Stegostoma tigrinum: one gene and its partner. The protein of the gene in region 1 interacts with the protein of each later gene in a pairwise test. Links are inferred from orthologs where the notes say so. Each region holds a gene or a part of one and is shown in the gene's direction. Other genes may lie near its edges.

Region 1 (15,717 bases):
TTCTTACCGTTTTACAATCTCTGCCTCAGGATGTGGCCTATCGAAAATACACAGAGCAGATCATCAATGAAAGGCTTAACTTGGTAAAATCGGTAAGCTAGCCTGATGTAATTGATCACTTGTTTTCAATGGATGGTGTGTTATTTGTCAGATTGATATTTCATATTAGCATTTTCTCACTTCAAGTACTGTAAAAGTCTTCTGTAAGTCTTGAACTTTGTAAAGCTGATTTTATGTAAATATGATTTACTTCTAATATTGAAATAATGAAGGGTAATGAAAGGTGTGCAATAAATGAAAGGCATTTTCTAATGTTTATTGGGACAATACACCTGAATCATACATGCCTTTCAGACAATTGCAGAAATCGGGGTTAATAAAATAACTGAAACCGGAGCTAAAGATATTAATGTAATGTTTTTTGTTGTGGTATTGAATTCATGACAGTTACTGGGTGTCTCACCACTAATGTCCTGTGTGTTACTAATGGTCAGAAACTTAACTGGACTAACCATATAAGTTCTGTGACTGAGGGCTATTCAGAGATTGAATTCTGCAGAGAGTAACCCACCATCTGACAACACTGAACCTGTCCACCATTTACCAAGCACAACTCAGGAGTGTAATATTATATTGTCCACATTCCTGGATGTGTGCAGCTTCATCAACATTCAACAAATTTAATACAACCAAGGGGAAAGCAGTCAGTTTGATTGGTAACCTATACACTACTCTAAACGTGTCATCCACCATTACTAAAGTAGAAAGACAGTACTGTGTATCAGATCAAAGGTGCCCAGCAGAAATTCACCAAATGGCCTTTGACATTCATCAAATCCTAGGAGATGCGGTCACTGGTTCAAAGCCTTAGAACTTCCCAACAGCACTGTGAAGAACTCCAGAGGAGTGACACCCTGTACGCAGGTATTCATTTCAAGCCACCTGTTCTGTATTATGTATTGTAGGAGCGCGATGTTCAAAAACTAGAAGACAAAATCAACTGTGGACAGATCGAAGAAGTAATTTCACAGGTATGCCACGGTCTCACTTCTTCAGACTCCATATAGAATTCAATAGAATATATTCAGTGCAGACTGTCAACTACGAGCAGGAACCATCATATTAGGAATTTCCCCTCAAAGTGGAAGAAACCCCATCTTTCAATATCACTGTTTTCTGTATCTTGTGTTTGATTTTTTTTTAAAAACACATTTGGCCATGACTCTGGAGCATTTTCTTTTGTTTGTGTAATTAAACATTCTGTAATGTTGATGACAAGCTACTCATCTTAAACTCAAGATGAAGGCACGCCCGAGATTTTGGCCCATTGAGCCTCCTGTGCCATTCAGTAGAATCATGGATGGTGCGACATTCCTCATCCACTTTTTTTGCCTTGCCCCAAAACCTTTGATTCCCATACTGATTAAGAATCTATCTGTCTCAGGCTTACACATACGTAAGGACTTTCCGCCATAGTTTTCTGTGGCAAGGAGTTCCAAAGCATCACAACCATCAGAGAGAAGAAATTCATCTCCACCTTAAATTGGCACCCCTTTATTCTGAGACTAAATTCACATGCCCTAGGCTCTCCCATCTGGGGAGAAATCCTCTCAGCGTTTAACCTGTCAAGCCTTTTTAATAATCTTATTTGTTTCAATGAGATCAGCTCTCATTGTTTGAAACTCCTCCAATGAAAAATGTATCAACCTGTTTAGCCTTGCACATGATACAGTGGCTCCATACTGGGGACAATTCAAGTGAACCTTCTCTGAACTGCCACCAATGAAATGATATCTTGCCTTAAATAGGGGGACCAAAACATGTCTCAGTACTCCAGATGTAGTCTCTCCAGCATCTTGCACAGTTGCAGTAAGACTTCCCTATTCTTATAACTCCACCTTCCTTGAAATAAGAGCCAACATTCCACTAGCCATTCTGATTACCTGCTGCACCTACTTGCTTTCTGTGTTTCATGTACAAGTATCCCCAAATCTTTGTGTTGCAGCTTTATGAAGTTTTTCTCCATTTAAATAATATTCTATTCGTTTATTCTCCATTCCAATGTGATTATACTCATTTGCCAACTTTTTGCCCACTAATGTAACCTATCGATAAGTCTATAAACTGTTTGTATCCCCCTCTCAACCTGCATTTCCACTTGTTTTTGTGTCATCTGCAAATTTGGTTATAGTACATTCACTTTCTCCAAGTCATTAATATATATTGTAAACTGTTATGGTTCCAACACTGATGCCCATCGAACCCTGCTGGTCACAGGTAGGCAAACTGAAAAAGAATCCTTTATCTCCACTCACTGTTTCCTGACATTAGCCAATTCTCTGTCCACGCTCATGTACAAACTCCAATGCCATGGGCTCTTATGGCTCAATCTTTTGTGAGGTATATTGACAAATGCCTTCTGGAAGTCCAATACAAAACATCTATTGGTTCTCCTCTATCCATTCTGGTTGCGGTTTCCTCAGAAAAACTCCTTTGGATCCCAAACATGCAGATACAGCCTTCCTTAGATATGGGGTCCAAGACTGCTGTCAATGTTCCAAATGCAATCTGACCAAAACCTTATACAGTCTCAGCAGCACAGCCTTCTTGAAATGAATGCTAACATTGTATTTGCCTTTCTAACAGCCAACTGAACCTACATGTTATCCTTAAGTGAGTCCTGAACTTGGCTCCCAATTCCTTTCATGCTTCATATTTCTGAATCATTTCCCTATTTAGAAAATAGTGTCTATGTCTGTATTCTTCCTACCAAAGTGCATAACCTTCACACTCTTCCACGTTGTATTCCACCTACCACATATTTGCCCACACTTCTAGCCTGCCCAACTCTGCCTGCAGCCTCCCTGCTTCCTCAACACTACCAATCCCTTCATCTTTATCTATGAGATGTGCAAACTTAGTAACTGTTGGTGAGTTCATCTAGAGCGTTAACGCAAACCATGAGTAGTGGTGGTCCCAACATGGACTCTGGCAATAGTTCCTCTTGTCACCAGTTACCACCCTGAAAATGAACCCTTTGTCCCCACTTGCTGCCGCCTGCCAGTCAACCAATCCTCCATCTATTGCCAGTAACTTACCTCTAAAACCATGGGCTCATGTGTATTTAGCAGCCTCCTATGCAGCCCCTTGTCAAAGGCCTTCTGGAAATCCAAATAGATCACAGCCAATGACTCTCCTTGTATATTACTTGATTTTCAAATATGTGGGACAGTAGTGAATGATGAGGAGGTCCTCCATTTGGGACACTAGTGAAATTCAAGCCATTTTTAAGCTGAAGATAATGCAGACATTAAGCTGCTTTATTTGTGAAGGAAAAAAATCAATTATGGGTATATTTAAATGACATAGATGGCCAAATATTCAGTTGAGTGATGTGGTGTGTAATGTTACAAAATCGTTGACAGGAGGCATTAGTCATTTGGTTAAGCAAAACTTATAGTCTGTGTATGTGGTGCAATTCTCTCCCATTCAGAATAGACAAAACATTTGTTGCACTATCGTGTTGGAGGTTGAAGATACAGAATAGTTATTTTATGTTATTAGTTTATAACCATTCGTCTAATTTTTTGCTAACTTCACTGCATTGAACAGGTTTATTACTGGTGTCAAGATATTATGGGATCAACACATTAAAAGTTTCAAGAAAAAAAGTAAATTCACTAAGATAAAGAACTTAACATTTGGAAACAGTCAGACTGTAGCAGATCATTTACTTTTTTTGGTGAAGATCCGAATCAAAATGGCTTCTTTATTACCTCTGACTTAGTGCGATGATTTAGGCTGTTGTTGTTACCCTCAAATATTCAACAATTACTTTATTCATAGTCCCTGATATCTTGCTAAATTTGTGATTTTCTTTTTAAAGGTGCAATGAACTAAAATTAGTGATTGGGCAGAGTTAATCTTAATTTATATTTGATTTACAACTTTAAAATAAACTTGAAAACTAAAATGTTGTTTAAAACATTCTTAAAATACTCTTGGTTGCTAACTTATATTTTAATTACAGGCTGAGAATGAGCTTTCTCTAGCATACAAAATGGCTAAGTGGAAACCTTGGGAACCATTAATAGAAGAAGCCCCTCACAACCAATGGAAATGGCCAGTTTAAATTTTATGTAAATTATGTTGATTTATTCAGAAAACTATACTGTCTCTTCTGTTTGTTTCAATCGTTATCAATATTAAAATTAATTGGTGAAACATTCTTCGTTTCATTTTAATTTTTGCCATGCCTCAATATCATGTGAAGTATTAATCCATGCTTTTAGTCCTGTGTATGTAGCAGAATAATCACATCTTGCACCATGGCATTCTGTCTGCAGGATTGGATATTGTGTTGGCTTGGACATGGGTATTAGAAAATTGGGAGCAGCAACAAGAAGGGGATGAATTGTTGTGCGAAAAGGAGGAGCAATCCCGCTCTGACTGCAAATTAAAATAAGTGTAAATCAAAAAAAAAACTTGTTCTTCCATTGGGCCTTAGGCCCCTGATTAGCATATTTAAGGAGTTAGCCTGTCTTAGGCAGTTGTCACGTGCACTTGGAAGTTAACTGTCAGCTGTCAGACCTCGGGGGAAATTGGGTACCCTTTTCTTATTCATTCACAGGATGAAGGCATCATTTGGCCATGCCAGCAGTTATTGTACAACCCTAATTGCTGAGAAGGCAGCTAAGAGTCTTTGATTTGATTTATTATTGTCAAATGTACTGAAGTATAGAGAGAAGTTTTATTTTGCATGCAGCACAGGCAACTCATAGCATGCAAAGATCATGGGGTGATTGGACAGAGCACGGATTACAAAGTTATGGCTGCAAAGAAAGTGCATAAAAAGCAAGATCAACACTGGATTTGAAATTTGGGAGGCCCATTCAGAAGTTTAATAATGGCAGTGAAGAAGCTGTTGGTACATGTGTTTAAGCTTTTGTATCTACTGCCTGATGGAAGAGGTTGGAAGACATTATAACCGGGGTGGGAAGGGTCTTTGGTGATGTTGGCTGCCTTTCTTAGGCATCGAGAAGTATAGATGAAGTAAATGGTTGGGTAGTTGGCTTGTCTGATGGATTGGGCTGTGTTGGCAACTTCCTGTAGTTTCTTGGGGTCCTGGGAAGAACAGTTGCTGTACCAAACCGTGACACATCTAGGTAGAATGCTTTCTGTGATGTATCTGTAAAAGTTGGTGAGAGTCCTTATGGACATACCAAATTTCCTTGGCCTCCTGAGGAAAAAGAGGCATTGTTGTGCCTTCTTGAATGTTACAACAACATGGGTTGTCCAGGCCAGATCATTGGTAGTCATCACTCCTAAGAACTTGGCACTGTCAACCATCTCTACCTCTGCTCGATTTATGTAGGTGGGGGCGTGCCCTCCTCCTTGATTCCTGAGTCGATGGCCAACTATTTAATTTTGCTGACACTTAGGGAAAGATTCTTATCGTTGCACCATGCCACCAAACGCGCACACCTTTTTTGTATTCTGTTTCATCATTGTTTGATATCTGGCTTACAACGGCGGTGCCAGCGGCAAACTTGTAGATGGCGTTGGATGAGATTTGGCCATGCAGTCATGAGTATACAGATGGTACAGAAAAGGGTTAATGACACATCTTTGTGGGGTGCCAGTGTTGAGGATTGTCACACAGGATGTACTGTTGCCTGTTGCCACTGACTGCAGTTTGTGGGTTGTGATGTTGAGGATCCAGTTGCAGAGGGTGAAGCAGAGACCTAGGTCTCAGAATTTGCAGATTAGCTTTGTTGTGATTACAGTGTTGAAGGTGGAGCTGTGGTCAATAAGTAAAAACCTGATGTGGGTATTATTATCCAGGTGTTCCAGGGATGAGTGTAGGATTATGGCATTTGCCATGGACCTGTTGCACTAGTAGGCAAATTGCAAGGGATCAAGGCAGGCTGGGAAGCTTAGAGTTGAAATGAGCCATGACTAATCTCTCAAAGTATCTAATAATTATGTAGGTCAGAAATAAATATATTGTCGCACGATTTCCTTACTTACCCTGGCTCAAATTCAATGGTGGCAGCCATACTACTAACCCACCAAATAGTAGACCATTCAGTTACTATATGCACCGATGAGTGCGTCGAAACTGGGAATTTCTGCTCTGCGTAATTCAATAGTTCACTTCTTTTGTTCAGTTGAATTGTCAGGAAGCCTGGGCTATTGTACCTAAATGATTTCTGAAAAAACTGGAGACTTCAATTAGCTATCAACAGTGCAAAGTTTCATTATTTAAACCATTCGTGACTGAACGAATGCCAGGTGAATTCAAATTAAGCATTTTTTAAATTGTGTAGGAACTTTAAATATGCCCCAGAGCATACGCTGAGGAAAGAACTAAAAGGACATGGTGTTGGGAAATCTTGGACTGGACCAGTCCCTTGACTACACCTCAACACCCTTAGCTCAGGGTTGATCCTTACTATTCTCCACCTTCTGCAAAGGCTGTTTGACTATGAAAGCAGTGCTCATGAGTCGTTTTACTTCTGTTGCGCTATGACAATCTGCTGTGAAATTGCTAAGTTGAATCATTGTGAGTGTTACTATGTCTGAATTTGCAGCTGTCTTGCTTTTGTAAGTCAGCGTACTTTGAAAATAATGAGTTTTCTGTACACCTCTTTTAGAATACCCCATGGAGATTTAGTAGTAAAATTATAACTTTTCTGTTGGGATGTGTCATGAATGAAATGTGACATGACCAGATTTTTGATGCTACCAAATTCCAATTTCTGTTGTTGTTTAAAAGTTCCCTTGCAATGGGGATTTTAACACCCTTTCAATTAGCATAATCCCAATATTGAGAACCTGCCTAATTGACTTTGAACTGATTGCAGACCTGGGCTATTGCAAAGGGTAGTTCAGTCAAACTTCTATCAGAGATGATAGGAATGGCAGATGCTGGAGAATCCGAGATAACAAGGTGTGGAGCTGGATTAACACAGCCAAGCAGCATTTTAGGAGCAGGAAAGCTGATGTTTTGGGCTTAGACCCTTCATCAGATATTCAAGTTAGTTCTGTCTCCGTTTGGAAACATCACTGTCAAATGAACTGTGAAGTTCATCAGAAGGGTCTAGACCTGAAACGTCAGCTTTCCTGCTCCTCTGATGCTGCTTTGGCCTGTTGTGTTCATCCAGCTCTACATCTTGTTATCTCAGTCAAACTTGTGCTGTCGTGTAGAGTTACAGGTAGGCCAGATTGTAGACATAAACATTGCGCTAATATGTGCGTCTAAAGTTCATTTCTGTCATAGGTATGAAATTGATTGGTGAAAATGCCGAGGAAGTAATTAGGGTCTAGGCCCGAAACGTCAGCTTTTGTGCTCCTGAGATGCTGCTTGGCCTGCTGTGTTCATCCAGCCTCACATTTTATTATCTTGGAATTCTCCAGCATCTGCAGTTCCCATTATCTCTGACCCCAGTAATTACTTAGTGTTTGTTAGTTCCCTGTGTACACATGCCTGTAGACACGTGACTCTTCACAATGGGGACGGTGGGAGCAGGAGGGGGGCGGTATAGCGCAGGCGCACAGGGACTGATGCGGTTGCTATGACTCCGCGGTCAACAGGCCGAGGCCCGGGACTGGAGCGGAGAGGGCAGGAGGCCGTAGCCGGAGAATCACAACCCCGACACGGCGCAACGACTGATTCAGGTCTACTTCCCGACGACTTTCTGCTCGCTGTTAGATCCGCTCAAGTCAGAAGGAGACCTTCCCCCCCCCCCCCGGGAGTGTCCGCGACACCGGGTTGGAGACCCCCCCCGGGAGTATCCGCGACCCCGGGATGGTGACCCCCCGAGTGTATCTGCGACCAGGGAGTATCCGTGACCCTGGGGTGAAGACTCCCCGGGAGTATCCTCAACCTCCGAGGCGGTGACCCCCCGGGAGTATCCTCAACCCCGGGCGGAGGGGGGTCCCTCCTGGGAGTATCTGCGAACCCCGGGACGAAAACTCTCCTGGGAGTATCTGCGACCGCGGGGTGGGGGGTGGGGACCCCCCGGGAGTATTCCCAACCAGGGACGGAGATCCTCACGAATCAAGAAACGTACTCAGTTCTTGACCCACTTTTATATTTAATTAAACATTTGTAAAACTTAATGTCTATTAGCAAGGTTAAAGCAAACTAGTCGTAGATATTCAAGTTAGCTCTGTCTCCCTTTGGAGGCATCACTTTCGAATGAACTCTGAAATTAGACGTCTAGGGCCTTCTGGAATTCAACCACATTGCATACAAGCATCCCAAGATATAAAACATCCCATTCTAGCATTATGTCTTTCTCTTACTGAACCAATTTTTTTCTTCCTGTTGAATAAAGTATGAAATGGTCTCAGAGTCCAAAAGCAGAGAGTGGTTGTGATCAGTTGTTTTTCACTCTGAAGGCATGTATACACTTGTGTCCCTGAGCACATATTATTAGAACAATTACTATTCAATATCTATTGATAGCCTGGACTTTGGTATACAGGGCATATTTTTTAAAATGTGCCAATTACTGAAACTCTGAGAAGTAGTGAGGAGAATAGTAACTTCAGCAGGCCACAGATGGATCAGTGAACTGGTGAAGCACGGAGAATAGGCAATGCATCACAGGAGATTGAGAAGTGATGCTATTTTATAGGAAGAATTAGGCGAGGTGATATAAATTAACATAATTTCAAAGGGGAAATTAGGAGTATGCATACATAAATCTCAGATGGCAGGATGAATTGGGAAGATTACTAAAAAATAGTAGTTGTTCAACTTTATAGGTGTGGCCGTGGAATAGAATACATCTGAAAATTAGGTAAATCATTATAAATTGTAACTAAGTGACCCAGTAAAGTACATATCCAATTCTGGCCACCAAACTTTCTTTAGGAAGTCAAAATCTGTAAGGGGTTGGAGAAGAAAACGCTATAGCAGTACATGGGGGAGGAGAAGGGGTTTCTGAAATACATGGGGGAGGAGAAGGGATTTCTGAAATCAATAGGGAGAGGAGGGAGGTGGATCGAAGATGGATGTAGGAGAAGATAGGTGTAGAGGATACAGACGGGTCAAAGAGCTGAGGACGGAGCCAGTAAAGGTGAGTGTAGGTGGGGAGTTAGGGAGGAGATAGGTCAGCCCAGGGAGGACGGACAGGTCAAGAGGGCAGGATGAGGTTGGTATGTAGGAGATGGGGGTGGGGCTTGAGGTGGGAGGAGCGGTTAAGTGGGAGGAAGGGCAGGTTAGGGAGGCAGAGACGGGCTGGGCTGGTTGTGGGATGCGGTCAGGGGAAGGGAGATCTTGAAGCTTGTGAAGTCCACATTGATACCATTGAGCTGCAGGGTTTTCAAGGACTGCAACTTCCCCCCCCCACTCAGTGGTTGAGAATGCCCTCGACCATGTCTTCCACATTTCCCGCAACTCATCCCTCACATCCTGCCCGCAATAACAGCCAAAACAGAATCCCCCTCGTCCTCATACCACCCTACCAACCTCCGGATCCAACACATCATTCTCCAACACTTCCATCATCTGCAATCCGACCCCACTACCAAAGATATTTTTCACACCCCACCCGTATCTGCTTTCCGGAGGGACCACTCTCTCTGTGACTCCTCTATCTGCTCCACATTCCCCTCCAGCCCCACATCACCCGACACTTTTCCCTGCAACCGCAGGAAGTACTACACCTGCACCTACCCCCTCACCCCCATTCCAGGCCCCAAGAAGACTTTTCACGTCAAGTAGATGTTCACCTGCACATCTGCTAATGTGGTATGCTGCATCCGCTGCTCCCTTTGTGACCTCCTCTACATCAGGGAAACCAAGTGGAGGCCTGGGGACCGCTTTGCAGAACACCTACATTGGGTTTACACTAAACAACTGCACCTCCCATTCGTGAACCATTTCAACTCCCCCTCCCATTCCTCAGACGACATGCCTCTTGCAGTGTCACAACAATGCCACCCGAAGGTTGCAGGAACAGCAACTCACATTCGGCTTGGGAACCCTGCAGCCCAATGGTATCAATGTGGACTTCACAAGCTTCAAAATCTCCCCTCCCCCTACCGCATCCCAAAACCAGCCCTGCCTCACTAACCTGCCCTTCCTCCCACTTACCCCCTCCTCCCACCTCAAGCCCCACCCAATTTTCCTACCTACTAGCTTCATCCCACCCCTTTGACCTGTCCGCCCTGCCTGGGCTAACCTATCTCCTCCCTAACTGCCCATCTGCACCCACCTTTACTGGCTCCATCCCCGCCTCTTTGCCCTGTCTGTATCCTCTTCACGTATCCTCTCTTCTATCCATCTTCTATCCGCCTCCCCCCCACTATTTATTTCAGAACCCCTTTCCCCTCCCTGACTTCTGAAGAAGAGTCTAGGCCCGAAACGTCAGCCTTCCTGCTCCTCTGATGCTGCTTGCCCTGCTGTATTCATCCAGCTCTACACCTTGTTATCTCAGATTCTTCAGCTTCTGCAGTTCCTACTAATCTCTATAACAGTACAAGGGACTTTTTAAACATTAGTTTATGAGATGTGGGGTGTGTTGTCTAGGTCACGATTTATTACCCATTCTTATATGTGGTGGCGAAAGTCGGTGCTGAGCTACTTCATTGAACCTTTGCACTCCTTGGGATGTTGTGCCATCCACAGTGCTGTTAAAAAGGGTGTTCCAGGACTTTGACCCAGTGGCTTCAAGTCAGGATGGGGCATGGAAATTGCTGGTGGCGGTGTTCCTATGCTTTAGCCATTCTACTCAGTCGAGCCTACAGGTTTTGAAACTATTTGATGAGTTCTGCTTGTGGATGGTACATATTGCTGCTTTTGAACATCAGTGCTGAAGCGAGTGGACATTGAATGTGGTAGATGGAGTGCCAATCAGTAGGCTGATTTGTCTTTTATAGTGCTAAGTCTTTTGAATGTTTTTGGATCCTCAGCCATCCAAGCAAGGGAAGAGTATCACTTTCTTATTCTTTTATCTTTCTTTTTTAATTCATTCATGGGTTGAGCATGTCACTGGCCAGGCCAGCATTTATTTCACAGCGTTAATGAAACAATTTCAAAGAAGTTCTGAGAAATGGTCGCCGGACCCGAAACATTAACTCTTTTTTTCTTTCACAGATGCTGCCAGACCTGCTGAGCTTTTCCAGCAACTTTGTTTTTATTCCTGATTTACAGCATCCACAGTTCTTACAGTCAATTTGCATTTTGTATTATACATAATATGTATTGAAGAAGAATCATACCAGAAATAGACCCTTTAAAGAAGTCTAGATTGTTTATTCCTATTTCCTACAATTTAAAGGTATTAGATGAATTGACAAGTTTATTCTGTAGCATGACAAGTCAGGAGTAAGAAGAATACTCTTATCATGCCTGAATGAGTGTATTTTCCCAGAAAACCCTCAAACATTTCAATGCATCACACCCTATCCACCAACCTAAAAATTCACACCCTTCACCTCTGGTGGACTGTGGCTGTAGTGTGAACTATCTACGAACTGCAGTTCAGTAACTCAGCAAAACTTCTTCAACAGGAAATTCCAAACCTGCAAACTCTATCATTTGAAAAAACAAAGACAAAAGGCACATGGAAAACCATTACCTGTAGGTTCAGCTATGAGTCACATGTCATCCTGATTTGGAAATATCATGCTTTTCCTTCACAACTACTGGATCGCAGTTCTGGAACTTCATTCCTCAAAACGCTGTGAAGTATATGCCTCATATGGACTACAATAGTTTCAGAAAGTAGCTCCCACACTTTCTCAAAGGAACTAAGAATGAGTAAATTGAAGGACCCATATCATGAGGAGCAAAAACAGAAGTTGCTGGAAAAGCTTGTCAGGTCTGGCAGCATCTGTGAAGAGAAAATTAGAGTTAACATTGCGGCTCTGGTGACCCTTCCTCAGAAGTTAACACTAATTAGAAGTTGACTCTCATTAGTTAACTCTAATTTTCTCTTCACAGATGCTGTCAGACCTGCTGAGCTTTTCCAGCAACTTCTGTTTTTGTTCCACATTTACAGCATTTGCAGTTCTTTCAAATTTTATGGACCCATATCATGAAATTAATTTTAAAAAAAATTAGGCTGAACTCAGTATTATAAAAAATGCCTTTCTGTTTTGTGCAGAAAAATGGCAGAAAATGAAGACCATAACCAGGAAGCTGAAGAACAAAACGTTACATTTGAGCAAGATGAGCACACTTACGAACATGCCATAGAAATACATGAAGTGTTAGATGAAGGCCGCTCTGAAGAGCCTGCAGATGGATTAGATGATACAAAATCCAGAGAATATGTTGTTGAGTTACCGTCAGGTAAAATCGCATTTTGAATTGGGATAATAAACTTATGTTCTTGCTGTGCAGAATCAATTGAAGTCTTTAAAAATGAGATATATACTTGTAAAATGAGAACCAGATTAGAAAAGGGGATTAAAAGGCTAAATCTTCCACAGCTAACAAGCTTGTCGGGACCAAATGCACTACTTCACTTCTTTTATTTCTACATCAGGCAAAGTACAGACTTTTTGCTTTTTTTTTCTTAATGATCCTATGTTTTTCCTCCTTCACAATGCTACTGCAATTGGAAATAAATATCTACCACATTATGTTTACTTACCCATCTATACCGTAACCAAGCGGAGGTTTAGGGACTGCTTTGCAGAACACCTCCGCTCGGTTCACAGCAAACGACTGCACCTCCCAGTCGCGAACCATTTTAACTCCCCCTCCCATTCCTCAGACGACATGTCCATCATGGGCCTCCTGCAGTGCCACAATGATGCCACCCGAAGGTTGCAAGAACAGCAACTCATATTCCGCTTGGGAACCCTGCAGCCCAATGGTATCAATGTGGACTTCACAAGCTTCAAAATCTCCCCTTCCACCACCGCATCCCAAAACCAGCCCAGTTCTTTCCCTCCCCCCACTGCATCACAAAACCAGCCCAGCTCGTCCCCTCCCCCCATTGCATCCCAAAACCAGCCCAGCCTGTCTCCGCTTCCCTAACCTGTTCTTCCTCTCACCCATCCCTTCCTCCCACCCCAAGCTGCACCTCCATTTCCTACCTACCACCTCATCCCACCTCCTTGACCTGTCCGTCTTCCCTGGACTGACCTATCCCCTCCCTACCTCCTCACCTATACTCTCCTCTCCACCTATCTTCTTTTCTCTCCATCTCCGGTCCGCCTCCTCCTCTCTCCCTGTTTATTCCAGAACCCTCTCCCCATCCCCCTCTCTGATGAAGGGTCTAGGCCCGAAACATCAGCTTTTGTGCTCCTGAGATGCTGCTTGGCCTGCTGTGTTCATCCAGTTCCACACTTCGTTATCTTATACCGTAACTAATCATTGGTGCAAACATTACACTTCTGTTCAGCTAAGAATGCTAAGGAAGTTGAGTGTCCTATGATAGAATACTACTGATTTATTTAACGTTATGACTGTATTGAATATTAATACTGTAATTGCTAGTGTCTTCACAATAAGTTTCGTATTGGAATTGTGATAAGTTCTCTTTTTCAAAGTGATATGCGTCTTCATTTTCCTTTTTCAATTAATTTCCCTTCGGCCATTACTTTTTTCCCCTTTGTTCATTCAAGGGATGAGGGCGTCACTGACCAGGCAGCATTTATTGCCCATCCTACTTGCCCCAGAGACAACCACATTGATGTGGGTCTGGAGTCGCATGCAGGCCAGACCAGCTAAAGATGGCAGTTTCCTCCCTTAAAGGGCATTAGTGAATCAGGTTGGTTTTTCCCTAAAAATTGGCAACGGGTTCATGGTCATTGTTAAATTCTTAATTCCGAATATTTTATGAATTCAAATTCCACCATCTGCTGTGGTAGGGTTCAAAGTGCATCCCCAGAACATTATGAGAGTCTCTGGATTAACAGTCCAGCGATAATCCTACTAGGCCATTGCCTCCCTTATGCAACATATGCCCTCCTGGCAGAAACAAATATACATTTATCATCCTACAGCAGATGTATGTCATCGATAAATAATGGCAATGTGAGAAAAGCAGAACCTCTGTGTATTTCAATTGGGGAAATTATTGAATAGATTTTTCATAGGACTTTTAATGGACAGAGTAATATGGCTTGAATTTGTTTTCATTGGCTGCAGTAGATTTTTGGCTTTTCATTGTTTCAAGGCCTAAATATTGGCTAATATAAAAACTATCCAATTTTGGTTGATTTAAAGGATACACTCATCTGCTCAACTAAATGGAGAAATATCAAAGCTTGCTGTTCTACAAGTTTCAGGTGGTGATGCAGTGAGAAACGCTATAAAAGCATTAGGAACACATTGATAAATTAGTAGTTTGGGAAAAATTTAGCAGGTACATTCAATACAGAAAAAAAATGAAGTGTTACGCTTTGGAAGTAAAAATAGAAAAATGGAAAATATAGTAATTTGAAGTGTCAGTTAGTTCAAGAGGGCAAGTTGTTACTTTTTTTTCTGTCAATTTCCTCATTGTATGAACATGGCTTGTTGTGATGGTCCAGTCTGCAACTCTTTTCTCATTGCTAAAGTGGAAGACATAGCCAAGTATAAATTTTGGAGCTTCCTAACCCTAGTTGGAGCTTTTATTTTAGGAGGTAGCTTTGAAAGAAAATTATTTCTGAGTTGTTTGCTAAATTAAATGAACCATTTGTTGATTGGAATCCATTTTAAACGGCAGGCCAGTGGGTCAAGCCTTTCTCCCACACAGGTTTAGGCGAACAGTTTACAAAGTCAGCCTGTCTCTGGCTATTTCTAATTCTTTTTCAACTAACAAAAAATGCCTGGATTGATAAAACATCAAGTAGTCAAACTAGAATGAAAATATTCTTCTGTCGTAAAAATATTCGATATGTTCAAAGAAAATGTAACTTTTTTTTGTTTTCTTACCCAAAGATACCTTAGGATATTCATGTTCTCAACTTTGGAAATTATGCTTGCTTTATTTTTGCATTTTATATAAATTAGTTTTAGATCAAAAAGTTACAACTCATTTGAATAGAGTTTGTATTAATCCACACCTATGAAAAGGGGAAAACAGTAACTTGTGTCATAGATAATGTTCACTGTTACAAAGTAACCAGCTTTTGCACAATTCTCTGTACCATGCTATTATTTAATTACAAATTGTGCAGAGCAAATAAATAGGAGTGACCTTGAACAATGAACTTAATGAATATCTAATTCAAAATATATGGAAATCCCCAAATGCAATATTAAAATGACAGATGAAAATTTCCATACCATGAATATCTCATTTCTGTCAAGTGAAAAATTGCAGCTCAATGGCTCTACCAAATACATTGATCCTGAGATTAAACATTCAAATTTGAGTGTCAAACATATATTGTGTCATTCCATCTAACACCATGCACACAATCTAACTACATGTTAACCTACTGTAGCTTTACATCTTTTGTTTCCTATCCACCTGTATGTGTGATAACCTAATTTATTGAAATTTCACAACATAAACGCATTGACTGTTGTAATAGTAAGTTCTGACTTTTCAGACAATGATATGGGAGCAACTTCAGTATCCTCAGCTTCTTTGATTGATGAAGAAACAGTAAATAAAACATCAGAAGAAATTATGTCAATGGAGAATCCTGAAGTTATCAATCCAACAGGTATTGTAAATTGTTAATAGAAAAAAAGGTGTTCAGAAACTACTGAATTCTTATTTTTAAAATTACTGTTGAAATTTCAGTTTAAAAACT
Region 2 (15,754 bases), on another chromosome or scaffold:
CAAACACCAACGTTGAGGATCTGATTTCAAGGAAAGGAAACTGCAATAAATTATTAAACACCCCTGCTCAGTATTTTTTTTGCTGAGTTTTAAAAACTCAACAAATCCAATTAAATATTGATCCACAAATCAAGGAGCCACAGAGAAAGTAATGTCCCATGACAGATGTTCTTTGGCATGGTAAACTGGCTTTAGAAGCTGTGCCTTAAAACATCCCATTGAAGTAAAAATGCTTGACTACATCCGAAGGCTCTTAAAAAGAGTGTTCTCAAGGAAAATTGAGACCAAGCAACGATAGAGTTAGTTTTGCTACAAAAATCAAATATCAGAATGGGAGACTAACAACTTGATTAAGGGGGTAGCTATTAATTGCCTTTTTGATTAAATTTTTAAAAAGTAGAGAAGCCTAGTGAAGAAACTACATTCTTTGGAAATGGCATAAATACAGACATTATTGGTACGCCAATGGCTTCCTTTTATGCTGTACTGCTCTCTGAACAATAGGTGTTCATTCTGACCAGTACAGCACCTTTTATTGTATTTTTGTTCCATTTCCTGCGTATGTTCTTTCTGATTGCCAATTTCTAGTTTAGTAAAAGATCAGTTTCAAAACAGCTCTAGGCAGGAGAAGACGTTCATCCTTGTTAGGTCACTTATCTCTAACATTTCACATGTTCCTTTTGTTGATAAGCCTTTCTAATTCCTTCTTGAAACATTCAATGTTCTGCTGTCTGTCGTTCCACTTGTGGCAATTCACATGGATCCATCATCCCTGTGTTCCCGCCCTGCTACGTTGGCTCTTGATTAGGCAACACCTCGTATGGAATTTTCCCTTCCCTGGAGGTGTCGCAGAGGTGATGAGGAGAAATAATTGGGTGAATTGGCCCTAGAAAGATACATGACGCAGCTTCCTTCTTGGTACCTCATCCAGAAAGTGCTGTACGAGATGGACCATGAGCTAGTTTTTGATTCACCACCAACTAAAAATCTTAATCGATGCCTGATAGCCACTGAGAGGCCTTAACTTTGCTACCTCCACAGTCACAAATGAGCTGTTCCTGGATTGGGGACTGTGACCCTCATTTGCCCCAATCTGGGGTAATCAGAGATACAGATTAGGGACAATGGGATGGCTTTTGAAAGCTACTCTCTACTTTGAAAGCTATTTTCTGACCCAAATTATCCATAACCATCCCATCAGAAGAGTTGAAAAGAGTACTTACCTTCTCACCCCTCATACCCTACAGGGTACGCCATGACTTGCAACTTTTGTAATGCAGAAACTACTTGCATGTGTTTGAGTAGCATCTCTGACAAGTGTCAAGGCCAGCATCATGCTAGAAACTCAGCAATGATCACCTCTTGGCTGTTATCGAATTGATTAGCATGCAAACAGGTGACTTATTTCAGCACTAGGGATGGCATTGCTTGGAGCCATTTAACATGCCCATCTCAACACTTCACAAAGAAAAATGAAAACTCTGCTACCACAGGTGAATAATCGACCACTGGATTTTAAATTATCATAACTGTTTTTTCACAGTTCTTCATGTGCTGGCTTCTCTCCATCTCTGAAACGTGCTCCACACTATATTTCTGTGTATTCTGCGTTCTTCCAATTTCAGACTCTTGCATAACCTCAGTTCTTTTATTCTGCCATTGACTGTCTTACCTTCAGTTGCCCAGACCCTATGCTTAATTCCCTGTTTAGTAATCTCTGTCTCTTTCTCTTCACATTGACAGTGCTTTTTGAAATTTACATCTTGGATGAAACAATGGATTATCTATCCTAATATGTTGTTGTGTGTCTTGGTGTCAAAGCAGTACCATTAATTATTTATAGAAATGTTTCCCAATGTTATGGACATTTTATGAATTGGAACTTCTTGTTGTGCCACCATTCATGCCAGTAATCTATTCAACACGCTTCCCATTCTTTTAATAAACAGATTATTGCTCTGCTTCCTGTTTACTTTTGCTCTCTCTATTTGTTATTTTAGGTTGTAGACTCCACAGGAGCAATTTCCCAAACCAATCACATGGGATCCAAAATATGAGATGCTTTCTTTCCATTCAGTCTGAACTGAATTTGATCCCTGACCCCAGAATTGTTGTGCCATTGTTGTGAGTATTACTATAAATATACAGCCACAATGGCCCAATTGGCCTCTTCCTGCACTACAAGTTTCTGAATAACCAGCGTTCCATGGAAGGCAAAATGCTGTGGATGCTGGAAATCTAAAATCAAAAATGAAAATGTTGACAACCCCCAGCACGTCAGGCAGCATTTGTGGGGAGAGAAACAAAAGTTGATTGTTGAAGTTGGTGATCTTTCCTAGTGCTATCCTTTACATCATTTAATGATGAAAAACAATATGTTTTCATAATGTCCCATGAATTTGACAATAGAACAATATATTGGTCTTTGCTGGTTACAAAGGCCCCTCTTTAAGGGAAGGTTGTTGATTTAGCGAGAGCACATTGCCCGAGAGATTATGGCATCATGGTAACGATCTCATTGTATTCAAAGAAGAATAGGGACATTTTAGCCAGTGCCCTGACTAATAATTATCCCTCAACTGATATCAACAACAAAAATGGAGAGTGAAAGAAGCGTTTATGCTGTAACTCAGAAACAAAAACAGAAATAGCTGGAAAAGCTGAGCAGATCTGGCAGCATCTGTGGAGAAAAATCATAGTTAATGTTTTGGGTTGTTTTGTTTTTGAAAGAAAACAGATTCTGCTCATCATCACACTTATGTTTGCAGGACCCTTCTCTGACCAAATTTGCTATCTTGTTTCCTACATTATAATGGTAACTACACTTCAAAAAAAGTCATTGGCTGCGAAGTGTCTTGACATGCCCTGAGGATGTGAAGGATTTTATACAAATCCCTGTCTCTTTTCATTGGCCATGTTTACTCTGACTTCCTGTTCTCGTGCAGTAGTTGGAGTTTTTTTTAATTAGACAAGCAAACCACATTTTGTGAGTTCAATTCCCAGCGTACATTATGAAAGAAAATTCACATTAAATTGGTTGGAATAGTTGTAAAGATCTGGCTGGATTACTAATATTCCTCAGGAAAAGGAAATTAATGTCCCTTAGAATAGGGAAGTTGTCTGTCGTATCTGATTTGGCTTACATGTCATTTCAATCTCATACTAAGTAGCTGTCTTAGGGATACTTGCTGTAGGAAATAAACATGCATTAGCCATATCCTAAGAACATAAAATTAAATATCTTTCTAAAACCTCTCAGGTTAAGGTAAAAAAATGAAAAGACAATGAAGCTTCAGGCTGTTTATGTCAAGATTTCAGGCTCTCGTTTAAATTCATCATTAATCTCCTGCCCTTTGTCTAGTTCACCCTGCCAGTTGAATAACTGTCAGAACTCTGCATTACACTGGCATATGTGAAATTGGTTTTTCGGCTGGATAACCTGCTGACTTTGATTTGGATTCATGCCTTCAGCAGAAGAGAGAAGTAGGGAATAGGATACACACACACACACACACACACACACACACACACACATTGAAGTACACAAAATACTAAGGAGAAAAACAATAGTCAGGGACACGAACCAACTAGTGTAACATCACTATTTCATAATATTAATTTATTCTTACTTAAAGCATTCAATTTGAAAAGTTACTTTAATAGTCTCTGTGGCTATACACAAGATTAATTGATTTCATCCTCAGGGACAATTCAAATAAATCTACTCTGGGTTTTCTCACCCGTAATGACACCATGCCTGTGACAACAACCAATCAATATTCATTCCACCCATCTGCAGATTTCGCATGCTACCCATTTTAATTGCTTATCGTGTTATACTTAAACTATTATATACATGTTCTATTTTCACATCATAAATATGTTTGTCAAATGCCTTTTTAAAATTGTGATTTAAGTTGCCTTCTTCATCTTTTTGTGGTCAACTGCATAAATTTAGATGTCGAAATAAATAGGCCTTAAAAATAGGCTTCTTTGTACACAGAAATCCAAAACTATACTGTAAATAGTAAATGAGTTTCAAAGGAGAACTGGATTCTGCAGGAGTGCTAAGAAGGATTTAACAGTCAGGCAGTAGGCATGGCTAAAGTATAATTTAAGAACTTCACATTTGTCTTAACCAAGAAAGAATCGTGGAGTCATAGAATCTCTACTGTGTGGAAGCAGACCATTTGGCTCATCAAGTCCACACCAATGCTCTGAACAGTATCCATTCTGTCCCTGTAGCTCTGTTTTTCCAATGGCCAATCTACCTAACCTGTACATCTTTGGAGGAAACAGGAGAGAATGGAGAAAACCCATGCAAACATGGGGAGAATGCACAAACTCCACACAGACAGTTACCCAAGGATGGAATCGAGCCAGGGTTTCTGGCACTGTGAGGCAGCAGTGCTAATCACTGAACCACTGTGCCACCCCATGCACCCCAGAAGGTGCTGGTGAAGCCATGATTGAGGAGACAGTCGTTGGAAGCTTGAGAGACTAAAATTTTATAAGGAGAGGATATTAGATTGCCTGTCTGGATGAGGGAAGTAAGGAAATTGGACAGGCACTGACCATGTCTTTGAATCCTCATTAGACACAGAGGTGGTGTCAGCACTGAACTGGAGAATTTCAAATGTTACACTCTTCTTCAAAAAAAGACACAAGGATAAACCCAGTAATTGTATAATCAGTTTATTTAACCTTGGTTTTGTAAAAGCTTTGAGAAACAATAATTTGGGACAACATTAACAATCACTTGGATAGACACAAGACAAAGATCTTCAGCAATATGTTTGTTCAATAGTATTCAAGTTAATAGAATCATACAATACAAAAGAGGGCCTATGGTCTATCAAGTCTGTACCGCCAAAGCTACACTGAATCTAACTAGCCCCACTTTTCAGCACCAGGCCCACGCCTTGAATGTTTTAACATATCTTGATTAATTCAGGAAAACCAGCATAGACTTATAGAGGGAATACCATATTTAAGTTTTTTTGGTGAGATAGCACAGAGAGCAATGAGAACAATGAAATCACTGTAGTGTGCTTGGACTTCCAAAGGGCATCTGGTTCCACATATCAAACCTTTTAGCAAAGCTAGAGGTAAGGAGACAAATGTGACAGTAATATCTTGGATATAAAATTGGCTGAGGTACAGGTAACAGAGTACTTGTGGATGATTCTTTCTTTTGGAATGGAGGAAACATTTTAGTTACGTTTGCCAGAGATTGTTATCAGTTCTGTTGCTCTTTTGATGCATGTTGCTGGCACGGCTGCTGTGCATAGGACACCACCTCAAAATCTGCAGATGTTACAAACGATGTAATTATTGTGTTATGTGAGAATAGTGGTAAAATTCAGGAGATCATAGACAGACTTATGGGAGTAACAGAAACAGAATGAGATTTGATACAGAGAAGTATGAAATGCTTTGATTTCGAAGGATGGGGAAAGACTTCATAAAATAAAGCATACCATTCTATAGGATGTGCAGGCCACAGAGGGGCATGGGGATGTATGTTCAGAGACCATTAAAGCTGACAATAGCAGGTTGAAAAAATGGTTAATAAAGCATACAATATTCTAGGATTTATAAATGAGGACAAGAAGTATAAAAACACAGCTGTTGTGATAAAACTACATGAAACATTGGTTTGACCTTTAACGGAGTATTGTGTCCAGTCTTGGACAGCACACTTTAAAAAATTTGTGGTGGTATTATAAAAGATGCACAGAAGATTTTTAAGAATAGATCAGGTACAAGGGACTTAAATTACATAGATAATTGTAGAAGCTGAGGTTGTCATCTTTGGAGATGAGGAGATGTTCAAATGTATGAGGTATCTAGACAGAGTAAACAGTGAGGAACTGTTCACATTAGCAGAAAGTCAACAATCAGAAGCAACAACTTGATGATTGGCAGAGAACCATAACAGGCACAAAAAGAAATCTTTTTTCAAAAGTGAGTGACTGGGATCATGAATGCCCTGAAATGGCCTCCTTCTGTGCTCTAACAATTCTATGAGTAGTTCATAGTACAGTACTTGAATATTGCTGAAAAGAGACATGTATTGTCAAAGCCTTTGTCTTCAGGATAAACACAAGAATGCCAAATTTCAAATGAACTCCAGAATTTATGCCGTTGGAGAAGTGGGTGCTGATTGGTTGACAAGTTGTCTTTGATGTTAACATGCAGAAAACAAAATGGATAGGTCCCCATTCTCTTTGGGAATTCAGAAAAGGTACAAGACTTACATTGTGATTGTTTCAAATTTGATATTCTTGAGTTTTCCTCAAGAGTATAAGAAAAACAAGCCTCTCTTTTCAGCAGTATTCCTATCTGTACCTCACTGTGACTGAACGTAAAAGTTCCTCTGGTACTATTTAATGAGGAGTGATCAATTATTAAACTTTAATCAACAAGTCTCTTAAAATAGCTTAATAGCAATTGATCTCGTTGCTGTTGGTGGGGCCTGTTTTCAAAGTCAGGACTGCATTTTGCCACAGCACAAGCGACTGCGCTTAAAATATCCTCTGGTTCTATACTCTCCCATTAGAACAAAATCTCTCCAGTCAAGTCCCCTAAGAATACTGATATGTTTCAATAACATTGCTTTTCATTCTTCTAAACTCCAATGAATTCAATCCTAGCTACTCAATCTGATCTCATAAGAAAATCTGTCCATACCTGGGATCAACTTGGTGAATGTTCTCTACACTGCCTCCAATGCCACGTATATCCCTCCTTAGATAAAGAGGCCAAAACTGTTTACAGTATTCCAACTATGGTCTGACGAATGCCTTGTATAGGTTAGCAAGACTTCTCTATTTTTATACGACATTACATTTCAAATAAAGGCCAGCATTTCCTTCATATCCTGTCTTTAAAAACTTCTGAAAATCTGTTAAGTATATTTAAGTACATTGGTAAATAGATATTTACCAAGTGGTAGAGAGGCGGAACACATCCCTTGATTCCCATCTGATAGGTAATATGTATGTGTTGTGGCTTTTTGTGTGTCTCCAATTTAGATCACTCCACCCCAGCTCAGAGACAGTGACTTAATTTGCCTGGGTTCCCGGCTCTGAAATTCCTTGCTACAACCTCTCATCGCAAAGCTTCTCAACCAACACCTCACCTCCCCCATTTACAGAATTCACGGAATTGTAAGAGCTCATTCAGCTCATCGTGACTGTGCCAGCTCTCTGAATGAGTAATGCACCTACTGTCATTCCTCCACCTTCTCCCCGTGAAACTATTATCTGAAAAGGAAAATTATCATCCAATTGTCACTGGCCAAGGTGTTGGTCCAGCTACCCCAGACGCGGCCTTATCAGGCCCAAAGACCAAAATTTGGGACATCATACTCCTGTAAGCTCTCTGTGAGCCACATTAATGCAAGCTATTGTTACTATATGCTGTACAGTATTACATGCCTTTGTAGTGCAGATGTGCTCCAGCGAAGAGGCAAGTTCCTCCCTCTCCATCCATACGAGTGGGAGGGTAAGGCAATGAGAAAAAAAATCCTACGGAGCTGCAACCTACCTTGAATGTGGTCCCACAAGCCCCACCCACACCTACTCACACATCTCCCGATTCCGATTGGGTAGCGAGCGTGTCAATCGTCATCGGCAGACACTTCCGGTAGGCGGCAGGTTTGGTTGGCGACACGAAGGGGGCGGGGTTTCCTTTAGTCCCGCCCCCGCTTCAGCCCGCGGACATGGCTGTTCCTCTCAGTCAGACGGTGGTGCGTCGAAGGGGCTTTGGTGATGGCGGTTAAAAAAAGATGTAAATTTCTATCGGCGTTTACTTAAATCCGCTGGATTTGTAAATTCATGAGGGAAACTGTTGTGCATTTGAGCCGCCGAGGTAATTTTCCTGCTGGAAATCGAAAGGCGGTGTCGCCATGAAAATTTTCCCGAAAGTCTTAATTTCATCTTGTAATTGGGATGGAAGATTGAAATGGATGGGCGAGTACGTTTTTTTAAGTCACTGGTAATGTTTAATTCAGGGTTTTCTCTTTTGATTCTCGTTTCTGTAGGAGCTTTACTAGCTGAATACAGCAAGATCCCACTTTTAGCCCACCACCACCTCCCTTTTATTTTGCAGATGAAGCGGTGCAAGTCTGACGAACTGCCCCTGGATGAGGAGCAGGGGTCGAAGCTGGGAGTTGGTGCTGATACAGCGCTCAAGCAGCAGGGTGATGCTACGCCAGCAGATGCTGCCTGTCCATCCCGCAACAACAGAGCTCAAGACTTGAAGGTACAGCGAATAAATAAGCTCTTCCTTCTTTACTCATAATAATAACATAGGCTGGTGAAAATCCTACCTCTTCTTTTGGGCTTTCTGCCTTTTGCCCTCGTGTAGCTCCAAATTTTTGCCTGCTGCATCTCCTAAAATGCACCTTTGGGTATCTTGCTGTCTGCCAAGGTGCTATGCAAAAGCAGGTTGCTTTCAAACTTTTAATTGTGCGGGATGCTTTGTCTTACCTGATGTTATTGCTCACTACCTTTGGCTTGTTTTATCCCAACTGACACAAAAGTGATTAAGGGGCTGATGACTAAGACAATTAGATTTAAGGTAAAGAAGAATCAAGGGTGTGTTTCGTCTGGTTTCAGATTTAACCCCGCCTCTGAGTAAGTCTTTGCTAACCTCATATTGTGCTGAGAGGTGGTTTGAAAACTACTGAATGACTCTTTATTAGTGATTTTTATGGTTTAAATAATTAGCTATGTTTTTAATCTGCATTTTTGCAATGGAAATATAAGGTTGAGTAATTGGGCACTGAGGAATTGTTATTCCTGATAATGTAAACAACTGGGATCACAGCTGAAAAGTCCTGCAAAAGATACAGTTTGTGCATATTTAAGTGTTCAAATTAAATTTCAATCATGCATGCTGCCCAAAGTGGTGTCCTTTGAGCCAAAGTGACTCTGGTGATCTGTGCTGTTTCTTCATTTCAGCTGGGCTATAATCTGTCTGGGTGGGGCAGATGGCCACCGCCTCTGTTCCAGCAGAGTGGAAAATCAACCCTATCTTCATAACTATCCAGTAAATCCTGTTGGATAGTGGGTGTGGGTAGATCAGTTCACTACAACATCGTCTTCAACCAATCCAGCACAGTCAAGAAGCCTGCAGAGACTTGCTGCTTTAGATTATACAAAAGGAATAATAATTCAAGTCAGCTATTTAATTAAGAATCATGGCACAAGAAATAGATTTCTGAAGATTAAAGTTGCAATTCAAATAAATCCAGTCACCTTCCGTAATTTTTGTTTAATAAAAGTATAACTGATTCACTTTTTAAGTGGAATGAGTGATTGACAAAGAACTTAGAACTCGAATCCAGTCTTTGAATTGTGAAAGTAAATTGGACATGTTTCAATTATACGATTTTTTGATAGTGTCTGAATCTCTCAAATCCATTATTGTTTTGTTATTCACCAATGGTCATTCACTGCAGTCATTATTGCCCCCCCTTGTGCTTTCATTGTGGTGAATTGTTATAAATAGAGCTTAGTTCAGCATATGACATTGAACAGAATGCTCTTATTTCAATGGGGAAGGAAGATTAATAACTTGGGCTATTCGTTTCTACTACATCACTATCATTTTGAACAATGTTTTTAGTTTACTATGAATAATAGATACCAGTGTTGTATTGCTGTGTTCCAAACCTCAGCTATACCTGGAAGGAAAATAAAACTAAACTCTTAGATGCCACTATAATAGTAATAATACTAATGAACTAATTCTAAGTAGTCATTCTAATTCCTTTCTCGTGCAAATTCATATTTGTCATGCATGGGGTAACTTTACTCAGAATAACAATTTGAAGTCTGTTTAGTGGCTTTTCCATTGTTTTTCTCGCATGTCATCTACCATAGTTTCTATGTGCTGTACATTTTATCTGTTTGTGACGATGGCTTAGAGAGCTGATTCAAGGCCCTGTTTTTTTGCATTCTGTCTGTCTTCCTCTTCCTCCTACATTTTGCTCCCACCCCGTGCTTCACTCATTTTCAATTTTAAATTAAAAGTTTTGTAGTGTGTGCATCAGCATTTCTTGCATCATTAATATGATCAATTTCTAGGCAGTGTTTCCTAAATTAATACAGTCCCAGATAGGTACCTTTAAATGTGATATTCCAGGACTCTCTTCCAAACAGCTGCTGGAATTATATCTACTGATTTATTTTTTGGCTACATGTCCATTCTTTGAGAAATACATGTTGCAATTACAAGTTGAATACATCCTTAAATACGTCAGGGTTCTGATCCTTCATCCTAACACCATGACACAAATAATCCTCTACTCGTCTGCCATTATGTAACAGTGGGATTGTTTCAATGCTTAGTGTTTTATTTGAGGACAATTCTTACTTTGAAGGAGGTTGAGTGTGGTTGACTTAAAAAGCCTTGTTCACACTGGTCATGTTCTATATCTGCTAATTTTGTTTAAAACAAAATGAAGCACAGGTGGCAATTTGATGCCAGTCATTTATGTTGAGGCCCAAGAATGACAATTCTTCCTCTCCTGAAATATTTCAGTCTGACACTCCCTTTTACACACAAGATCGGAGCAGAAGTGGATCATATGGCTTTTTGAGCCTTCTCTGGCATTCAGTGCAGTATTTCTAGGTTTCATCTCCACTTAGTTGAGACCTGTTAATGTAGATAAGAATTTCAGGATTTTCCTAAATAAATTATGCGCCAAGATTTTTCTGTCAAACACATTCTTGCACACACACTTAAAAGAAGTGATTGCTATTTAAATGAGTACCATTTGTGAATTTATATGGTGTTTAGCCTCATTTTATGGTGCACCCTTGTTTCTCCCTCCTTAGTTGAACTGATCCATAATTTGAGAAGAATTTTGCTTGTTCCTGTCTTCTCTGTAATTGTTTTCTGACCATGATGTCAAGATACTTCAAGCTTAAATGGAAAGAAAATACCTGAAGCTGCATCTTCTCCTCTGAGAAATTAAAATTACTGGTAGTTTTCATCATGACCTGGTGAATGAAGGCACATTGCCAGGTGTGACAGAAACGTAACTGCCCTCCAGAGTTTGAGAGGATATTGAAGTCACTTCTGGGCTTTTGATAAAGTGGAAAAGAGGAGGAAAAAAATGTGGGCGATATGTTTTCTGTTAACCTGCTTCAGTAGTTTGGCCTTTATGGTGCTAGAAAATATAATTTAGAGAGGCACAGGTGTGATTTCCCAATCTGCTGATTTATTTAATCTGAGTCAGGAGACCAGTTAATTTGTGTATTTAACCTTATTGTCCCACATATTTGGAACATGGGATGGAGGGCAATCAGTCTGAAACCCTGCACCTCCTTACCATCCAGTGAGCATTGGAATATATTGTTGAACTTATTGTCACTGCTTGTTTGTGACGAATGATTTCTTGTACTAAGTACTGCTATGTGAAGAACAGAATGTAACCATGAGATTGTTCTTTCGCAAGGGGAGGGGAAGATGAAAAACAAAGCATTGGAGCAAAATTGACAGCTCAAGTAAATAAAATAAGTGTAAATTAAACAAATATAAGTAAAAGTATATACAATAAATACAGTGGAAACTGCTTTGCCACATTTGGCTAATTTTAATTTACTATGGCCAATTCATGTGTGAGCTCATAATAGTCCCTGTCCTTGTGGGCTGCAGAACATGTGTCCCAGTGTTTTCAGGTTTGGTAACCCTCAGAGGAAGGGTCATTGGACCTGAAACTTTGACTCTATTTTCTCTGGTGCTGGTGCTGCCAGACCTGCTGGGCTTTTCCAGTAACTTTGTTTTTGTTCCTGATTTACAGCATCCACAATTCTGTTGGTTTTTACAAATACCATGGCGATCATTGCAAATGGTTACAAATGCTTCAGTAAAACAGAAATTGCTGGAGAAACTCAGCAGTTCTGGCAGCACCTGTGAAGAGAGGGCAGAGTCAGTTCTGGGGATTCTGACCTTTCAGCAGAGTCTGTCTGAAGGAGGGTCGCTGGACCTGGACCTGAACATTCACTCCGCTTTCTCTCCACATATGCTGCCAGGCCTACTGAGTTTCTCCAGCAGTTTCTGTTTTTCAGGCTTTCTGCATCTACAGTTATGTTTCTTTTAGCTATAGATGCTTGGTCTTCAATCTAGGTAGGAATTGGGTCAAGACATTGTCTGTTGTGCTCATAGTCTTGAATCATGCAAAATGATCAGATTGGCTGACTTGCATGTTTTCTGCAGGGAAAAAAAGGTTTATGGGTCTGACTTCTACTGTCTGGTTTAAGAAGTACCTTGGACATCCAGGTTACTGTGTCTACTGGTTCTGGACTAAAACCATAGCTTGAATGTTCAGCTTTGGTATGTTCGTAATTAATGTTTGGTACCATTGCGTGCAGTCTCTCTTGCTTTTCAGTCAAAATCTAATGGAGTAAAATCTGACATAACATTTTACTTTTGGGTGAGCATAGACATACAGCCAAATGATTCAGAGATAATAAATAGGTTTTGGTGGCTCAGTGGTTAGCCCTGCTGCCTCTCCGCGCCAGGGGACCTGGGTTCAATTTCACCCTGAGGCGACTATCTGTGTGGAGTTTGCACATTCACCCTGTGTCTGCATTGGTTTTCTCCGTGTGCTCCGGTTTCCTTCCACAGTCCAAAGATGTGCAGATCGGGTGGATTGGCCATGCTTAATTGCCCACAGTGTTCAGGGATGTGTAGATGAGGTTGGTTATAGGGGAATGGGTCCTGGTGGATTGTTCTGAATGTCACTGTGGACTTGTTGGGCTGATGGGCCTGTTTCCACACTGTAGGGATTCTAAAAGAAAATTGGTTACTTTGGTTTCATTGCAGAATCTCTCAGAAAACACTTGTACATTTGCAATGACAGCAAACCTGACATTTGGAATTTGGCATTTCAATGACACAAATTTTACTTATGTAGAACATTTTGTTATGAAATGACCCACTGTGATTCATAGCAGGATTATAAAAACATATACTGTCATAGAACCCCTACAGTGCAGGAATAGGCTGCTTGGCCCTTGAACTTGCACCAAACCTCTGAAGATCGTCCTACCCAGACCTAGTTCCCCACCTCATCCCTGTAACCGCAGATATACATCTAGCATGCACTTTCTATGATACAATGGGGCAATTTGTCATGGTAGATCCACCTAATTTGCGCATATTTGGACTGCAGAAAGAAACTGGAGTACCTGGCAGAAACCGACATAGACATGGGGAGAACATGCAAACTCCACACAATCACCCAAGCTGAAATCAAACTCAGGTCACTGATACCTGTGAGGCAGCTTGGTCATACAAGTATGATATAAGGAATATTTTAAAGAAGGAAAGTGGGGTAGAGTAGCCAAAAGTGTAGAGAGTCTACTGGAGCTTTGATATCTGGGCAGCTGATCGAATGACCATGTGGTGGAGCAGTTGTAATTGGGAGTGACTACGAGGCCAGAATTTGAGGAATGCAGCTTTCTTGAGGGCTTGTGTAGTTGGAGGACATTTAGAGATAGTGATGAAACTATGGAGGGATTTGGAAATGAGGGCATGGCTTTAAAAATCAAGATGATGGATATTGCTTGGGTGGGGAGATATTATGGTCAGTGATGAGGGGGACTGGCTGGGTATTAAGACATGGGCAGCACAGTTTCACGTGAGCTCCAGTTTACATAAGATAGAATGTGGGAGACTAGCCAGGAATCCATTGGAATTGTTGAGTGCAGAGGTAACAAAGACAGAAATGAGAGGATGAACTCGAATAGGATCAAAGGCAAGCGATATTACACAGGTGGAAGTGTCGGATTCAATGATATGAGAGGGGTTCGGAAACCTATAAGCAATCTTTGAATCAAATGTGACATGTAGATTGTGGACACTCCAACTTAATCTCAGATTTTCGCCAGGTAACCAAGTTGGGGGCGGGAGCTGAAAACAAGACTTCAGTTTTTGTGATAACCAAGTGTGAAGCTGGATGAACACAGCAGGCCAAGCAGCATCTCAGGAGCACAAAAGCTGACGTTTTGGGCCTGTAGCTCTCTGATGAAGGGTCTAGGCCCGAAACGTCAGCTTCACACTTTGTTATCTTGGATTCTCCAGCATCGGCAGTTCCCATTTTCTCTCTTCAGTTTTTGTAATGTTTTATTGGAGGAAATTTATGCTTATCTAGTACTTTTCATTGAATAAACAGACTGATAATTTGGGAACTATAATTGACTTAATATAGTCCATGATGAGGCAGAGCTCTGTGTTGTCACTTACACGTATAAATTGGTGCTGTGCTTTTGGACAGTATAACTGCAGAGGGAGGGCTAAGGATCGGTTCCCAGATGTAACTGTGTGGGAGCAAGTAAAGAAACACGTTGCAGGTGGTTATCTTAGATTAAGAATGGAACCAGGTGAGATCATTCTCATTCAGTGGACTACCATTGGAGAGGTGTTGGTGGAGGAGACTGTGATGAAACGTCTCTTCAGGCTCCTGAAAGTTTTCCTTTTTCATACTCTGACAGAATGAAATTTGTGACTTAGATAAAATCTGTTCCGTTACTTCGGAATGTGAGTAGGTCATTCAGCCCTGTTCCGCCATTCAGTGAGATCACGGCTGATCTGTAGCCTCACTCCATTTAATTGCCTGTATCCCTCAGTACCTTTTACTGAGATAGATGAATTTTTATTAATAAGTGATCCAGCAACCACTGCCATTTGTGGAAGAGAGTTCCAAACCTGTACAGTGAGTCCACATCATTCTTTGCTCTGGTATTCCTTGTTTTGTGTATACCTTGCTATTTAATTAGCCATCAATTTTTGTTACGCATTCAGCTGTTTCGTACGTAAATCGTTATTTTGGTGTGATGCCGAAAATTAATTTAATTCTTATGGAAAGTAAATCCCCATTTTCATTCTTTCACTATTGGTCATATTTTGATGAAACATATCCTATGAGTAGCAAGGGCCCCTGTGGTCTGACCAGTTCCAGCAGTCTAAACCATTTTTTTGGCCATTTCCTATCAAGTCAGTTTTCCTTGCACTTGAGGGATTGGAGATCAGTGCTACTGTGTAAGTGAATTGGGTGTTCATAATTCCCACTGATAGATACGGAAGAGTTTGATGCATAAGGGGTATGGTGATTAACATATGAAAGTGACCAGAATGAATGTTGTCTGAAATTGACATGAAAGAACTAGCATGATGAAGCGAGGTTGCAAGATCCAGAGGGTTGGGTGAATATTGGTTGGTGAGTTCATACAGAGGGAGAAATCTTAGGATAAGAGGGTCATGAGTGAGGAGGGAGAGCTGATAATTTGTGATTGGAGGTTGAAGTCAAGGATAAGGATCTTTTTGGTGCGAGCAGTGAAGATATCCCAATGAATATTTATTATTGTTCTTCAGAAGGTGGCACAGAGAGGCTTTTGGAAGAGAGGTGAGAATATGGAACAAGGTGACCAGCATAATGGAGGTGTCAGGGTGGCTTTCGGAGACCTTCGCTGACTTGATGTAAGAGCAAGACACTGATCTAGCTACAAAAATAAAAGCCTTTATTATTTAGCAAGTACAAGCTGTGGAGGATCGCTGTACTCAACCCGGCACAGAGCGCTCAGTTTAATAAACAATTCTCCCCGAACAGCGGATAGTCACCGCTTTTTATACTCGATGTATGAATTGGCTAATACAAAAAAAATCACTACATTCGGAACATAAAGAGAGCAGGATACAGCATTGATTGGTTTTGAAGTGACTAATAACGGCAGGA

What was found.
Region 2: the proteins of iqub (region 1) and tmcc2 interact in a two-hybrid assay, tested with the Homo sapiens proteins (2 studies listed by BioGRID and IntAct). The two-hybrid records come from large-scale screens. The link is inferred for Stegostoma tigrinum from reciprocal best matches to the Homo sapiens genes IQUB and TMCC2.

The regions. Positions count from the first base shown.
Region 1 is NC_081371.1:14,579,775-14,595,491, forward strand, and holds the start of iqub (IQ and ubiquitin-like domain-containing protein), read left to right. Parts: upstream 1-7,559; 5' UTR 7,560-7,680; intron 7,681-12,122; 5' UTR 12,123-12,126; coding exon 12,127-12,310; intron 12,311-13,593; exon of another isoform or gene 13,594-13,739; intron 13,740-15,510; coding exon 15,511-15,627; intron 15,628-15,717. Other genes in the region: ndufa5 (NADH dehydrogenase [ubiquinone] 1 alpha subcomplex subunit 5), read left to right, coding at 1-92, 966-1,031, 4,031-4,132. UniProt on the Homo sapiens protein: Adapter protein that anchors the radial spoke 1 (RS1) complex to the A microtubule of outer doublet microtubules in axonemes. The triple radial spokes (RS1, RS2 and RS3) are required to modulate beating of the sperm flagellum.
Region 2 is NC_081374.1:8,078,508-8,094,261, reverse strand, and holds the start of tmcc2 (transmembrane and coiled-coil domains protein 2), read left to right. Parts: upstream 1-7,712; 5' UTR 7,713-7,968; coding exon 7,969-7,980; coding exon of another isoform or gene 7,981-8,001; intron 8,002-8,115; coding exon 8,116-8,268; intron 8,269-15,754.